Linked DNA regions of Tamandua tetradactyla. The protein of the gene in region 1 interacts with the protein of each later gene in a biochemical or structural test. Links are inferred from orthologs where the notes say so. Each region holds a gene or a part of one and is shown on either strand. Other genes may lie near its edges. The genes, in order: BNIP2 and ARHGAP1.

What was found.
Region 2: the proteins of BNIP2 (region 1) and ARHGAP1 form a complex in vitro, tested with the Homo sapiens proteins (2 studies listed by BioGRID). The link is inferred for Tamandua tetradactyla from reciprocal best matches to the Homo sapiens genes BNIP2 and ARHGAP1.

Annotation. Positions count from the first base shown.
Region 1 is NC_135340.1:75,549,549-75,553,454, reverse strand, and holds the start of BNIP2 (BCL2/adenovirus E1B 19 kDa protein-interacting protein 2), read left to right. Parts: upstream 1-1,073; 5' UTR 1,074-1,265; intron 1,266-3,906.
Region 2 is NC_135334.1:123,409,661-123,413,566, reverse strand, and holds the start of ARHGAP1 (rho GTPase-activating protein 1), read left to right. Parts: upstream 1-1,078; 5' UTR 1,079-1,210; intron 1,211-1,216; exon of another isoform or gene 1,217-1,403; intron 1,404-3,709; exon of another isoform or gene 3,710-3,906. Other genes in the region: ZNF408 (zinc finger protein 408), read right to left, coding at 91-362, 658-813, 885-1,056. UniProt on the Homo sapiens protein: GTPase activator for the Rho, Rac and Cdc42 proteins, converting them to the putatively inactive GDP-bound state. Cdc42 seems to be the preferred substrate.

The DNA.
Region 1 (3,906 bases):
ACAACAATAACAAAAAAAACACCTAGGGCTCTGAGACTCTATGAAGTTTTGATGCTCTAGGTTTGTGTTCCTGGAACATATAATTCCTGAGGGGTTCCTAGGTCAAGAAAATCCTGAAACTCAGGGGGACCAGCCTCTCCAAGATTATCAATTAATTACATCCCCCTATCCTTTAGTGTGTAGCCAGCCTTTCTCAAAATGAAAAATGCAGAACAGGCATTGCCCAAAGAGCCCTATAGTTCAGGAGAAGGTTAAAGGAGGAGTAGTTATAACAGAGAAAATAAGATTTAACAAACGAGTATGACTGCTAAGTCATTATATTCTTCTTCTAGCCTCCAGTGTTTTGAAGCAGCTAGAAGGAAAAATCTGAGATGGTGGAGTGGTAGCCCATGACAAACTCTGGGATCTATTCTGCAACTATTTGTTGAAGTATGCTTTGAAAATTGCTTTCTTTTCTTCACTTTATTTATTTTACAAGAAAAAATTTTAAGAAATACTTAATGCCAGAAAACTGTACACTTAAAATGGTTTAAGTGATTTTGTCATATGTATTTTTCCACACAATCAATGTTCAAAAAATGTGACAAAATGAGCACCAACTGTTGGAAAAATGATGCAGATAGGACTTGCTAGAGGCAGGGTTCCCACAAACCCTCAATTAGTAAAAAACAAAAACGCTGTATCTGCAAAGCGCAATAAAAGGAGGTATGATTGTACATAATTTCTGTAATTATAGTAATGATAAGCCAAAGGAAAATAAAAATGGCTCTTTGGGAGTTGAGGGACGCCTGCCAGCAAATAAGAATGGGCTGGGAAGCGCGTCTAGCGCTAAAGACAGCGCCAATGAGGCTTTAACTCTACCTTCTGCCCAGGAGAAAACCAGGGAGGCCCCTTGCGCATCCCCGGGATTCAGCCCGAAGGCTCGGAGTTGGCGTGGGTCGTGGGTCGGGTCGGCTTGAGTTTGGGGTGACCCTGGGGTAGTCTAGCAGACCGCCAAGACTCCGCCGCCGCCTCCTCGTCTGAGGGCTGGGGTGCCAGGAGAAGGTCGGAGTGTCGTCACTTCCGTTGTGCCCGATTTCTGCGTCCGGGTCAGGGCTACAGCCGTCGCCTCCGCCGCCACTGCTGTAGCCACAGTCGGGAGCCTGGGCCCTAGTCCGCGCCGTCCACCGAGCGGAGCCGGCAGCGTCTAGTACGACCTGGCCGTCAGCCGCACGTCGCCGGCCTGGAGAGACGAAGAGCGCGAGGGGGCCCAGGCTTCCTCCGGGGTGAGTGCGTTCCGGTAGGGGCTGGTAAGGTGGGCCTGGGCTGGAAACAGGCCTGGGGGGCGGAGGGTCTGAGTGGCGCCAGTCCACCGGCGCCTGGAGAGAGGAAGCGCGGATGGAGGGTGGGTATCCGTCGTTTAGAGCGTCTTTGAACCTGCCCGGAGGCGCTTCCCGGTCCCGCCCAACTTAGGTCCACGCCCTTGGCGCGGCTCCTGTTCACTTTTGCCACCCTTGCCCCCCACCCCTTTACTGTTTGTTTTGGTTGTGGTGCTCGGGTTGGGGCCTTCTCCCTCCCGGGAACCCCGCACCCACACACCCTGGTCTGCATGCGTGAATGGGCCACGTTGGTCCCGTGTCTATGACTGGTGACTGTCCTGATGCAGAACAAAGAAACTTGGACTGGTGCTTTGCCTTGTACCCTCGGGGAATGGACACGGAAGCGGCATTAGTAATTCCGGGACAAGCCAAGCCAAACATAGGGTGTGCACAGAAAAGCCAAGTCCCTGCCTGGATTCATATACTGTACGCTTTGTACATAAATACCCGGCGAAAAACAGATTGGGTTTCCGGGGTACATCTGATGCCACCAGGGATCAACTCTATCAAGTCATATAAAATTAAAAATTTGTTTTTTACTTTGTCACATTGCTATCGAAACTGCTCCCTTGGCTGCCAGGAACTATTTGAGTGCACAGCTTTTGCTGTGTTTATCTAGGTATTCACAATGCCCCCCCCATATATTTGGTTAACTGAATCCGTGCTAAGTGTGTGCTTTTCATCCCCACCACTAATTAATTAGGATCTCTGTTTCTCCTAACTCTTAATTTCTTTTTATTTAACTAATAAATCTTAACATACAAACATTCCATACATGACTTACAGTCAGTGGCTCATTATACTATCACATAGTTGTGTATCATTTTTTTATTATATCTGTATAATGCGTAAGAATAACCTCCAGGATAGCCTCTCTACTCTGTCTGAAATCTCTCAACCACTGAAACTTTATTTTGTCCCATTTCTCTCTTCCCGCTTTTGGTCAAGAAGGTTCTCTCAATTCCTTGATGCCGGATTCCAGTTCATCTGGGCTCTCTGTCCCATGTTGCCAGGGAGATTTTTACCCCTGGGAGTCATGTCCCACCTAAGGGGAGGGAGGCAGTGAGCTCACCTGCTGAGTTTGCTTAGAGAGAGGCACATCTGAGCAACGAAAGAGATTCTCTGGGGTGACTCTTAGGCCCAGTTTTAAGTAGGCCTAGCCTGTCTTTTGCAGGAAAAAGTCCCACAGGAATGAACCCCAAGATTGAAGGCTAGGCCTGTTGACATGGTTGTCCCCACTGCTTGCCTAATGCATAATTTCTTAATTATTTTTTAATGAAACATATTCTTACTCTAACATAAAAATTTCAGCAATTCATAAATGGGTGTTTCCTCTAAATTATAACAAAGTAGGTAGTACCTTACAAAGTAGTTTCTTGATCTTGTACATTTTCTCCTACTCTGTTTTTGTCGTTTTATAACCTTGATCTTCATAATCTCCTCTATTGCAACCCAATATTATAAGATTTAGGAAATCCAGTGGCAAATCTACTTCTACAAACGTGGAACTTGAACTAGATCAAGTTCTAGTTCAGGGGTTTTTATAGTCTATAGACTTCGCGGGACCTTTGAAGCTAGACTTATTCTGTGTAAAGTTGCAAGTGAACTGAAGGCAATGTGCTGTATTAGAGACAGTTCTGGACTGGATCTGGAAACCAGAGGATTAAACTTTGTAGTGTCAGTGCCTCATATATAAGATAAAATGGGGATAATAACACCAGTGTTTTATACCTCACGAAATTGTTGGTTGAAATGCATGTGATGATGAATGTAAAAATAATTAGTAAATGTGAAAAGCAGTGTTTGGGAAAGTGGTTCTCTTCTGTTCAGTCTGTCTGGGGTAATGCTGGTAGAATGAGCAGTGAGGGCGGAAAAGGTTTTGAGAAATACAATGTAGCCAGGTACAGTGAATCAACCTTAGTTGGTCGTAATAAAAAAATGTTTTGTTAAGTTTACATCTTATAAAGCACTGTGCTAATGTAATGTATTATTGTGATAGTAATATTCCAAAATTGTAATTTTTATTACGACCAATATTTTAAAACTGTAAGTGTTAGAGATCAGTTATTAGACTTTAAAAATTTCAGCCTCTTCTGTATGTTCTGCATTCTGATAATTCAGTAAATGTACATATTGTTCTCTTCTTTTGTGTTTGTGTATTAATGTCTATGGCAGAGGATTTGTCATCTCATGGATGAACTATTTATGCTTTGCTTTATTTTCACAGTTTGAGAAAACTCAGGACCATTCTAGTTTTTCTGTAAATTGTATGATAACATTCCTAATAGAGTATCTCATTGTACCCTTAAAAACCTGTGTGATCCTGGTTGCTCAAGTGTTTCAGCGGTAGAATGCTCGCCTTCCATGTGGGAGACCCAGGTTTGATTCCTGGACCATATACCACTCTCCCCCCCCCCAAAAAAAACAACTTATGTGTCCTCAAGGGAACAATGCCGGGTAAGCATTTAGGGATTTTCTAGAGGTGTTTCAGTGATCTTTGTAAACATATAGGCTGGTTTAAAGTATTTTCCTATGGTACTACCAATGG
Region 2 (3,906 bases), on another chromosome or scaffold:
CCTCCTCCAACAAACGGGAGGGCTGGCTATCTGGAAATATCTGAACCTCCCCAAATTCTCAATTAGGCGAGAAGTCCTATTCCTCAATACCTCTTCTTGTCGGGATTTCGATCCCTTGTCCTCTGAAAAAGAGTCCTCTTCCAGAGGCCCCCAGAGCAGTCCCGGCTGCAGGGGCTCCCCGACACACCAGATCCCCAAGCGCTGCTCCACGGCGAGTGATGGGCCAAGGGCCAAGCCCCGGGGGAGGTTCTTTAGCGCGAAAACGACTCCGACCGGCCCTAGCGGGAAGTCCCAGAGACCCTGAGCGCAGCCTTCTCCCGGAGGGCTCCATCGTGAATCCGGACCCAGGCGCGGCTCGGGAGCTGCAGGGAGATGGGAAGCCGACAGTGAGGGAGCAGCCCCAAAGGGCGTGGGGCAGGGAAAGATGCGACGGAAGCCGCAGGCCCGGCCAGACCTCCGTGGCCTGGCCGATCTGGGAGGCTCTAGGGAGGGGGTTGCTGAGGGGGCCGTGGGGCTCAGGGGCTCTTGAGAGTTCCCCGGTGACTGTGAGACGCTGGAGGAGGATCCCGGGTTCAGGAGGATGGGAGAGAGCTGACCAGAGTACGCCAGGCCCAGACCAGGCCAGGCCCGAGGGCCGCTGATAGGCAGGGCGCTCACCAAGTCGCGGCCTCTTCCCCTCCAAGAGCAGCTTCTCCACCTCCTCCATCCTGGGTCGACAACCTCCCGCCGCCGGAAGTGAGCGTCGCCTTCTCAGCTCCTCCCGGAAACATCTACCGCCAAAGTGCCTCCCAGGCAAGAATCCTAGGATCGGACCTAATTGGTGCACAGGATCAAGAGTTTGGGAGAATCCGTGAAGGAAACCTCTGTCCGAGGACAATACCAACCTAGGATTCCGGAGGTCCACCAGGGATTAGCGTACCCGAGGAAGAGGAACTCATTTTTCCAGCTTCCTTTAGTTGGGCAGGAAGAGTCGGACCGTTGTGCCACTGCCTGCCTGCCTGGCGGGTACGTGGGAAGGCACGTGCAGGAAGTAGGCGGGGCTCTTGAGATGGCCATGTTTGAACCTGGCAGCAGGCCGGAAGTTGGCTGGAGGTGTGGCGGAAGTGTTTGGGGAGTGAGGCGAGCCGAGAGCGCGGTTCCGGTTCCTCCGTGAGGCCGGAAGTTTGTCGAGCTTTGACAGGCGTGGCAGAGGAAGCAGTGCCCGAGCGCGGTGAGCCTCAGGCGCGGGGGTCGCCCTGGTGGGGGTGAGGTGGGAAGGGGAGGAAAGCAGCTGGTCAGGGGCCATCCGAAGGCTTGGGGTTCTGGCAGGAAGGGCCCGAGCGGTTCTGAGGAGGGGTCTCAGGTGTGGGATCAGGACTGGCGGCCTGGCCTTCCTGCGGCGGGGATCTGATCCGGGAGCCGTGGTGAGACTTCGCCCCGTTCGCTGCCTTCCTTTGGCCGTCCGCAGGGCAGAGTCCAGGCCGGACCGCTGTCCTCGGATACGCCGCTGGGAGGGGGACGTCTCCCTGGTCCCCAGTGGCGAAGCTCTGAGAGCAAGACATTTGAGGGAAGAGTTTCTCCCCGCCGCGCTCTATTCTCGTTTTCCTCAGCTGTGAAATGGGGCGGTCACCCCGGACCCGGGTTTTGTCAGCCGTGAAGCCCTGTAGGCGGGTGGTTGCCCCCGAGAGGCCGGGGTGTATCGCGGCGGGCTCGGGTTTGCTGTCCTGGAGCGGCGGCCCTCCTCGTAGGAGGCGCCCTCCAAGCTAGAGAGGTCGGGTCGCCGTCCCTGTTCGCCGGAGAGAAGCTTCGGGGAGGGGCTTCAGCTTGCCCTTTTGTGCCCCGGGCTTTCCGTCTGAACCTTGAGAGTCTGTCTTAGCGCTTCGTTGAGGGACTGACCTTCCCCGGGAGACGACCCCCCCAGACAAAGACTAAAACCCTGGCTGCTGGCTGTAGGACGCCAAGCCGCACGCTTATTATTATTATTATTTTCTGGGGGTGGGGGTCTTCACTAAACTCAAACTGTAAAACGGGCTTAATAGTTCATCACCTACTGCACCTTTGGTAAGTTAAAAGAGGTAAAATGTGTCCAGTTGCAGGGGTCTTTCAGGCCCTCAGCAATGCTGAGTCCCTTCTCCACTTAGTGAGTGAACTAGCCCGTTCTGTCATTCAGCATCTCCTGTCCTCCAGGCTTTCTTCTGATAAGGCCAGGGGTTCTTAAACGAATTCTCGGAGAGTATGTGAGCCCCTTAAAATTGCATGCAAAGTTTCATGCCTGTGTTTTTCGTAGGGAAACCACAAATTTCGTTAGATTTTCAGAGGTCCAGAACTTTTCAAAACCTCTGTCTGAAGTGATTCTCAAAGATTTTTGTAAAGATTTACCTGCAGAGAAGGGAAAATTTTATCCCAGTAGGGAGTGTGCTGCACTCACTGGGCGGGTCTCCCGAGTGCTGGGGTCTGAGGCAGGCTGTGTACTTCATTTCCACCCTGTATGTTAGAATTCCCTGCGCTAGCTTCCCTCATGCTCCCACTGCTTGAGAACTAAGCTTCCAGGTTCAGAGAAGGCAACAGCGTCTATTTGGAGGGCAGTGAGAGAGGCCAGTCCGGCTGGGAAGTGGAAACAACTTGATTAGTTATGTTGGAAAAGAGGTTGTTAGGGTGGGGGCTGGGGTCAGTTCTGGATGAACCGGCAGCCTAGAGGAGGAGTTACTAGAACAGAGGTGGAGTTGGAGTTCAGCTCCCTTGTAGACAGCGTACTTGCCCTCCCCCCCCCACCGTCATCTCCCAGCTGCTCCTCCTAACCCTGGCGTCCCCCTCAGCACAGACATTTTAGGGCGCTGGTGCGTTGTATTTCTGGGAGAAGGCTTCACTTTATGGATGAGGAAACTGAGATCCAGAGAGAAGGACCTGCCGGCATCTCTGTGGTGCAGTGGCTTAAGCAGGATGATTTGCCACTTCCCCATATCCATGCTCCTGTGCCTTTTCCTACTGTGGACAGAGAGGCCCGAGGGGCGGCGGTGGGGAAGGCTGAAGGAGCTCTTGGGGCCCGGGTAGTGATCACAGGAGGGATGGGAGCAGGTCAGGCCTGGAGGGGGTAGTTTTGCATTGGAGTCTGTCCCTGCGGCCCACCCAGCTGGGTGCCTTTGGAAGCAGGCATCGACCTTCTGTTCGATGGGAGGTGCCTGTAGAGGGAACAGGCTGAGCATGGCCTGCGTGGGGGTGCTGAGGGACAGGGTGGGGTGGGGTGGGGTGGGGTGGGGCCGGGCTTTAGGGGCGAGGGACTCTATAGTACTCACCAAGAGAAACACACTCCCAAATACAGGAGGGCATATTTCTCAGCGTTCCTGGGAAAGGACTTATATTTGGGGGTAAGCAAGGGCCATGGAGAGGGAGAGTAGGTGAGGCGGGGGGAGAGGAGGAGGAAGTGGGTTTTCTCTGGCGGTCTGGCCTCTTGGCTTTGGCTTGCAAGCTCGAAAAAGCTTTTACCACTCAGTTGGGTGTCGTTGCCCTGGTAACAGGGTGGCTGTTGCTAGGCACAGGGAGAGGCTTGCCATCCAGAGACCTTGGCTCCAGCGAGCCTGCAGGAGGCTGTCACGTTGTGGCAGAGCCCAGAGGTGTTGCCGGCTGTGCAGTTCTCCCCCCCCCCCCGCCCCCCTCTGCACTCTGGCTGTTCTCATCTGCACTGCCGACTCCCAGACCATATATGTCGCTTTTAGGCTCTAGGAATGCAACTGGGCGTAGAGCAGCCTCTTCTGGGGTTGGACTGAGAGGGTTGAATTGAAACTCCCATCTCCCACTCATTTGCAGAGCTGGCGGTGGGAGAGGGGTCTGCTTCTCATTAGGGCCCAGGACAGAGGTGCTGCCCCTGCCCGGCTGCAGGCAGCCACCTCCTCTGGCCAAGACCAGATCCCAGGCTTGGGGTTGCCCAAT